Linked DNA regions of Daphnia pulex. The protein of the gene in region 1 purifies or fractionates together with the protein of each later gene. This does not show direct contact. Links are inferred from orthologs where the notes say so. Each region holds a gene or a part of one and is shown in the gene's direction. Other genes may lie near its edges.

The links.
Region 2: the proteins of DET1 homolog (region 1) and E3 ubiquitin-protein ligase COP1-like purify together in Homo sapiens (affinity purification with western blotting; 11 studies listed by BioGRID and IntAct, counting the BioPlex papers as one, with this or other methods). This does not show direct contact. The link is inferred for Daphnia pulex from reciprocal best matches to the Homo sapiens genes DET1 and COP1.

Annotation. Positions count from the first base shown.
Region 1 is NC_060020.1:945,218-949,090, reverse strand, and holds DET1 homolog, read left to right. Parts: upstream 1-1,323; 5' UTR 1,324-1,489; coding exon 1,490-2,638; intron 2,639-2,695; coding exon 2,696-3,202; 3' UTR 3,203-3,238; downstream 3,239-3,873. Other genes in the region: cyclin-dependent kinase 7-like, read right to left, coding at 1-119, 191-368, 433-560, 642-923, 995-1,057, 1,118-1,189; cAMP-regulated phosphoprotein 19-A-like, read right to left, coding at 3,566-3,763. UniProt on the Homo sapiens protein: Component of the E3 ubiquitin ligase DCX DET1-COP1 complex, which is required for ubiquitination and subsequent degradation of target proteins. The complex is involved in JUN ubiquitination and degradation.
Region 2 is NC_060028.1:8,377,547-8,381,581, forward strand, and holds E3 ubiquitin-protein ligase COP1-like, read left to right. Parts: upstream 1-1,231; intron 1,232-1,377; 5' UTR 1,378-1,423; coding exon 1,424-3,232; 3' UTR 3,233-3,408; downstream 3,409-4,035. Other genes in the region: NADH dehydrogenase [ubiquinone] 1 alpha subcomplex subunit 10, mitochondrial-like, read right to left, coding at 1-367. UniProt on the Homo sapiens protein: E3 ubiquitin-protein ligase that mediates ubiquitination and subsequent proteasomal degradation of target proteins.

The DNA of each region.
Region 1 (3,873 bases):
AATGCCAAAAAACGACTCAAAAGCTGCAGCAAATCATCTCCGGCGGCGGTGAAAATATGCCGCATTGGAATCACGGGGAAAGCCTTAAACTGAACAAAATCTGGTAGCGAAAGCAGTCCCTAATCAAGGAAATATGACTAGAGTTTAAAGGTGGGAGACGGTTGAGTTCAAAATTGTTTTATGTACTTACTGGCCAATTCTCTTCGTTTGGAGTGCCCAAAGTTGTAAAAATACGTGTAAGTTGATCTAAGTCAGATTCTCCAGGTAAAAAGGGGAGTCGAAGCAAAAGTTCAGCCATTATGCAACCTACTGCCCATACATCAACACCGGTACCGTACATTCGAGCACCAAACAACAGTTCTGGACACCTAGTTTCAGGTGTGATCAATTTTAATTTCAGCTGAATATTTATGTTGCATTTCTTCAAATTACCTATACCACCTCGTCACAACCTGGTGAGTGTAGATACGAGTGGGTGATGCAAACGATTTTGCCAAACCAAAATCACCAAGTTTCAGTATTCCTTGACGATCAACAAGAAGATTGTTAGGTTTCAGATCCTAAAATGGTAGTTGAAAAAAAAAGAATGTGCATACTTCTGTCATAATGTACAGGGGAAAAATATATATTATTATTATTACTCTGTGAAGAATAAATAGAAGATGGAGATATTCAAGTCCTTGAAGTGTCATAAGAATGTAAGCTTTAATGTGTGCTGGAGTGAGAATGATGGTTGTGTCCTTGATTATTTGCTCCAAATCAGTATCCATAAAGTCAAACACCAGAGATACATTAGAACGGTGACCAAAGACATCAAGTAAACCAATTATATGGTCATGCTTGAGTTCTTGGAGTAACTTGATTTCTCTCAAAGCTGTTCGATTGATTCCATCTCTAGCCTCTTCTCGTGAACCCAGTTTAATCTTGAACAGAAATAGTGTTAGTATTTTATAAACGAACCGGAAACGCTGAAATGAAAACACATTTTTTAAACCTTTTTAACGGCAACTATTTTGTTATCGTTTAGAGTATCTTTCGCCTTGTAGACTGTCGCAAACTAAATTACAAAATAAAACAGTTGAACATACACAAAAGACAGTGCCAATCAAAACCTTACCTGTCCTTCTCCCAAAAATTCAATCTTTTCATATCGCTGAAGTCTAGGTTCTCTTTCTCCACTCACGTGCATTTTTCATTCATACACTCAAAGTTTCTTTCAACTTTTAATCACCCGTCAAGAACGATTATTTTAAAATGGAATTTCACTCGTCAACAGGTGGCGTGAAAAACTATTGTTTATCTTTCTATTACCACCGCTAGATCGATCTGTTCTACAAAATGTTTCGGATTTTGACATCTCAAACCTGCTTCAGTTCTATTTCACATGTGCTTTATCACTAAAAATCTGAAACTTCTAAAATTCACGGCGAATAAAATGGGAATTGCAGATACGTAGTAAAAATGCCGAGTAATAAAAAAGGTTCTGAAAATGATGAACCCCAAATATAGACAGGCTGACCATGGTGAGTTCGAGTTGACTCCTAGAAAAATTCCCTCGCAGAATGTTGTAATTCGACTGATTCGTCGAGAGACTCATGTCAAACCCGGAAACTATCACATTTGCCGATCATTTTATCAAAGTGTTGTCCCAAATTTTACAATTGTCAACATAGAAAAGCCACCATGCTATTTGAGAAAATTTACACCCAACGGCAAGTACTTTATTGCATTCTCTTCAGATCAAACTTCAGTGGAAGTTTACAAATATCTTGGACCAAGTGCAGTAGAAGATTTACTTACAGATGTTCCAGGAACGAGAGAGTTTGTTGGAAATGATACCAATGAAGCTGTAAATTTAAGAAGTAAAGTATTTTCTAAATTCTTCCAGTTAAAGCATACTATTGCTGTAACTCCTGTTGGTGAACAACTAAATCGCGAATGCAGTCTCTTTGTCGGTGACGGAAGATTTGTTATTGTCGGTTCAGCCTCGTACGTTCCCGAAGAGCCCCAGCCAAATTTTTTTGATATTTTCCGTAATAATGAATCCGTATCTCCTCATCCTCGTTCTCCACTAGAAGATTGCTCACTTCACATCGTTGACATCGTCAATGGAAGGCTCTGTGATACTAGAACAATGAAGACCGACAAAATCTTTCTCTCACACAACCAAGGACTTTACTTGTATGAAGACACTCTAGCAGTTCTCTCTGTCCAGCATCAAACGATACACATTTTTAAAATTTCACACGATGGCTATTTTGCTGATGTAAAAACTATAGGTCGATTTTGTTTCGACGATGACGAATGGTTAATCAATCAAGTACGGGGACTTTGGCCTTCGGGTCAGTTGGTTCGTCCGTTTCGAGAGGCAACTGTCAACGCGCTCAAGCATCGTTTACTAGTGTTTCTCTACCGACGAGCAATCAACATGGCTGAAGCCGAAGGGAATCTCTTTCACGTACGAAAGTTCTATCAGAACTTTGATCACATTCGCGCACTCCGAATCTGGAAAATGCAGTTGTTGGATGAGTCACATTTGCTTCTGAAATATGCTAGTGAAGATGTGGTTACACTACGAGCTCCAGACCCAAATACGCAACCGGCCTTCTTTGTCGTTTACAATATGGAAAACGCACAGGTATCTTGATTATAATTAAAAGAAAAAAACTTAATCCCACGTATTATTGTTTTACAGGTTATTAACGTCTATGAAAACACAAGTCAGGAACTACTGAACTTGTTCGAGAACTTTTGCGATTTACTACGCAACGCAACACAAGGATCACCGTCCAGCAACGTATTTGCAAACGTCATTCATCAACGATTCAAGCAGACCATTGTCAGCGCTCGCTTTGGTGGGCAGACGGAAGCCACAAAACGACTTCTTTCACAACTTCCCATTTCAGCACAATCCTATTCCTCTTCGCCTTACCTTGATTTGCAGCTGTTTTCCTATGACGATAAATGGGTTTCGCTCATGGAGCGTCCAAAGACTAGTGGAGAGCACCCCATTCGTTTCTACGTCCGTGAATCTGGACTGCTGCGGTTTCGCATTTATGCTGGTATTCTTGGCCGGCCAGCTCCGCCTTCTTCTGCCCGTCGCCTTGTTGCTTTCACGTTTCATCCAACAGATCCATTTGCCATAAGTGTTCAGAGAACCAATTCCGAATATGTAGTCAATTTTCACGTTCGTCACATTTAAATTCATGATTTAAAAATACAAATCATTTGTGCTGTATTGAAGTGGTGCCACTGTATGTATTTCATTTTTTTAACGGGGGAAAGGAGTCTAACTAGCGTCTTCTGATTTACGGAACTCCTGGTTATTTCTCATCATTTCAAGCGGAAAAAAAATGAAGAGAGGCGGTAAAATAGTAAAGAGCGCGGCCAAAGATTGAGAAAAAAATGTTTTAAAAAAGATTTAAGGGAAAAAAAAAAAAAAAAACTGATGCAGACACCGAAACGTAACACGATCATGAAGATATTACACCAAATTGTATACAAACTGCCCGATACCAAATTCATGCCCGCGAACGGTTAAGACTTTCAGGTGATGTTGCTCTTTTTACATAGCAGGACTTGCCAACTTGCTCTGAATGATGGATGTTTTCCTGGTAGGAACAGATTCCGGAGTTGGAATGGCATCCCCAGTTGGGTGTCCAAGATTGGCAGGTGGGATTACTGCTGTTGTTGCTGCAGTTGGTATTTTAGCTGGTCCTTTTTGTTTTGCCATTTGGTAATCTCCAGAGTCAAAGTACTTTTGCTACAATAAAATTATAAGTGAAATAGAATTAGTTGGTAAAACATTTCAGTTGGCAGATTGCATTCAAACTTTCTCATATTATTGCACAATGGAAAGTAACACAAAACACA
Region 2 (4,035 bases), on another chromosome or scaffold:
CATAACCATATTTATTAATGTAGCAATCTGCTACATTTGGCGATGGAAAGTATGCCATATCCAATTCTTCAGCCAACTCTTTGGCTAGAGCCCTTTTCCCAGCAGCAGGTGGCCCTTCAACAACAATCAACTTTGAATTCTCATCTAATCGGCTGGTGGTGGGATCAAACAAAGCTCGTAAAAAGTTGTATCTCTTTTCCTTGTATGGGAATGGAGCTGGCTTTTTAACAGGGGGCAATCCTTGGCGCATTACTTTTCCAGAGATAGAACGCTGTCCTACTGTAATCACACATTGTTGTTGTTTCCTTGCTATGATGACAACACTTCCGCATAGCTTTGGAGAAGACACTCTGCTGAAGAAGACCATCTTGTATCGTTTTAAAGAAGCAAGTTATTCTTTACCAATCTGGTTAAACCCTGCAAACAATCAAAAACATTTAATATTTAACAAATTGCACTCCACATTTCTACTACAGCACATTAAATACAAACAAATTTAACTCTAATTTAATAATGAGTTGGAAGCAACGAAAACGAAAGTAGGCATGGACAGTTTGAAACTACCTCAAAGTTACGAAAATGCTATTAAATACTCAATTTGTACCGAAACAGTTAGTTTTTAAATTATATTAAGCAACCATAACATAATAATGAAAATAGTGTTTTTCTTTTACCAGACGGCCATGTAAAATTTTCTTTACCTTTCCTTCTGGACCGCCAACGTTGCCTTGCAGAAAGAACAATCTTAACAATGAATAAAAATATAATCAATATTTGTCCGATTGGCTAGAATAAAATTAAAATAAAATAAAGAAATGTGTAAATTTTAAAAATCTAATAATCTATACATTTTTGATTTGCTGTCATAACTTGGCAACTGAGTGAGTTTAGTTTGATATTCCAATATGGCGGCATCCATAACGCAAGTGTTCCGTGTCAACTCTTGTCGGCTATTGTACTGTAATCGTTTTTCCAAGGTCGCTTTCCCAGCATTCTCTACTCAGGCCACAAATCTTAAGGTGAATAATACTGAAGTTTCGCTATCGAATTTTGCATATCAATAACACGTAAATCTTGTACAATCTTAGAAAGGTAAAGGCCTGATTTTGGGAGGCTATTCTTCCAAGAAGACCGAAACCGACGTCGACTCTACAAAAGATTTCATTTGGACTCAGGCGGCTAAAAGTTTCAATGATCAAGTGGCCAATCGCTTAAACGATGCGTTGAACTGGTAAGCCCATCCAATAAGTCTTGATTCAATCAAAATTAGGTTTGATGTCAGACATATGTTGTGCATTCAGCAGCTAATCTGACCTGAAATTCTTTATAATGATAGAAACAAACAGAAAATTCTGACTTGTTTGTGATGTGTTTCAGGTCAGATCATCTGTAAATGTGACATACGAAAATTCAAAGCCTGAAGATGGCAGGCCGTGGGGTTAAGAGGGGTCCCCAGTCTCTTCTGTTTGGGGGTGTAAAGGACACGTATGAAGACAGAGATAGTGATCTTCTCTGCCCGGTCTGCTTGGATATGATGTCGGAACCTTACGTGACTACATGTGGGCACAGCTTTTGCCATGGATGTATTGTCAGAAGTCTGGAGTTAGCGAGCAAATGTCCCAAGTGCAGCGGTCCCCTCGACAGTAGTGGCCGAAACCCATCCGTTTTCCCCAACGTAACCCTCAACGCATTAATAACCAAACAGAAGAAGAAATTAGTCGAGAGTCAAGATGGAAATATTTTGATGAAAGACTTTACTACTCTGTTGGATACTCGGGATTGGCATCCATCAGAATTAGTTCGCATGCAAGAAGTTTTGCTTCGGAAACAATGTGATCTTGATGGAGAACGAAAACTGACCGAAGCCCAGCTACTTAACGAATTCCTCCAACAGCTCAAAACCAAGAAGAACAACGAGTTGAGAAATGTTCAACAAGAACTAGAGGTGCTTGACAAGGATTTAAATATGGCGCAAACCCTAAATCCTGGCATCGATTCTGCTGCAATTAAAGTGGAAAATTGTGAAGTCAACGAGACGGCCTTCAATTCATCCATCGCGTCCACACCGTTAAGCATCAGTCAACGTCGTGTAAGAATGCACCAACATTTCGAAGATTTAGAGGGGAAATACTGGGCACTTCGGAACAATCGTCTCGGTGGTGAGGAAGAAGAAAAGAAAAGTTTACTCGACTTTCAATCTAATTTGAACCAGTTAACGCGATGGAGTAGACTAAGGCCTTTGGCTAATTTGAGCTACGGAAGCGAACTCCTCAACACGGCACACATTGTCAGCTCGATCGAATTCGACCGAGATGCTGATTTTTTCGCCATCGCTGGTGTGACCAAACGCATCAAAGTGTACGACTACGCAGTGGTTGTACGGGATGCGGTTGATCTTCACTATCCTGTTATGGAGATGGTGGCGGGCTCGAAGATATCGTGCATATCTTGGAGTGCCTACCACAAATCGGTTCTGGCAAGCTCCGACTACGAAGGCAGCGTATCCGTTTGGGATGCGTCCGTCGGTACTCGTCTGAGGGTCTTTCAAGAGCACGAGAAACGCTGTTGGAGTGTCGATTTTAATCGCATGGACAGTCACTTGATGGCCAGTGGCAGCGACGATTCCCGAGTCAAAATCTGGAGCTTAAACGCTGAACACTCTGTGGCCACTTTGGAAGCTAAAGCCAATGTCTGTTGCGTCAAATTCAATCCGTACTCGCGTTATTGCTTAGCCTATGGCGCAGCCGATCATTGCGTCCATTACGTCGACCTACGTCAGCCCAAGGAGCCACTACGGGTCTTTAAAGGCCATCGCAAAGCCGTCTCTTACGTCAAGTTTCTTAGTGATCGCGAATTAGTGTCGGCCAGCACGGATAGCCAATTGAAATTGTGGACGGTTGAAGACAACGTTTCATGTCGATCTTTTCGCGGACACACAAACGAGAAGAACTTTGTGGGCCTTTCGACGACGGACGGCAGCCAAGACGATCGACGTGATTTGATTGCTTGCGGTTCGGAAAATAATGCCCTTTACCTCTACTCGAAGGGACTCAGCCAGCCTTTACTTCATTATCGTTTCGACGTTGTTAAAAGCGCTTTGCTATTGGACAAGGAGCGGGCCGAGCAAGAAGAGAGCGCCGAGTTTGTTTCTGCCGTTTGTTGGAAACCCGACTCCAACGTAATCGTCGCTGCCAACAGCCAGGGAACTATAAAAATTCTCGAACTGGTTTAGGGTGGTAATTTTATTGTCAATTCCCATCATCATCCATTTTGCGAATTTTCTATTTGGTTCTGGGTTGTCATTCCCCAATGACTTGAATGCTGTGTTCTGCCAAAACGTGATTCCCCTGTTGTGCCTAATCTTCATTTAAATTTTATCCTGCAAATACAGTTGTGAATTTCCTTTGACTATATTTTTCATTTTTTGTCGTTGTTATCCCCGTGTTTATTTCCCCTATCCCGTGTCCTCTTTCAATTCCAATCCCACAGGAGTGGAGTACCGAAGAAAGGCAAAGCTCGAGTGCTGTACGGACTAGATCGTGAGTTTCCGGCTGTAGCCGTCGTCAATTTGGGCCCAAATCCTTTGGATGATTCCACCATTTTCCAAAAAGAAAATATCTTGGAGGAGAGAGACACAGCCAGGGAGAATCTAAGATGCGGAATTGCAGGCACCTTATACTTGTCTAAAATCTTTTTTTTTTTTTCTTTTCTTAATGAATCGTATCTTGCAGCTGGTGTGAAGGCCTTGCAAGAAGTTGGAATTGAAATTGTTTCAGTCGACCCTTGTTCTGATGCCGAATGCGCTGCTGAAAGTGCCTCCCTGACCCGCTGGCAGTTTCAAGATTTGAAAAATGCCGCCAAACGTAAACCCGAACTCGATTTGGTATTGCACGGAAGCGATGAATATGGGTTAGCGAGAAAGAATTTAACGTAATTTTTCGACTTCGGCCTTAATTTATGTTTTGCTATTATTAAAGGGAGGCCCAGTGGGAGAGGGGTTTGACGAAAGCAGCTGGGCAGAACTTGGCCAGATGG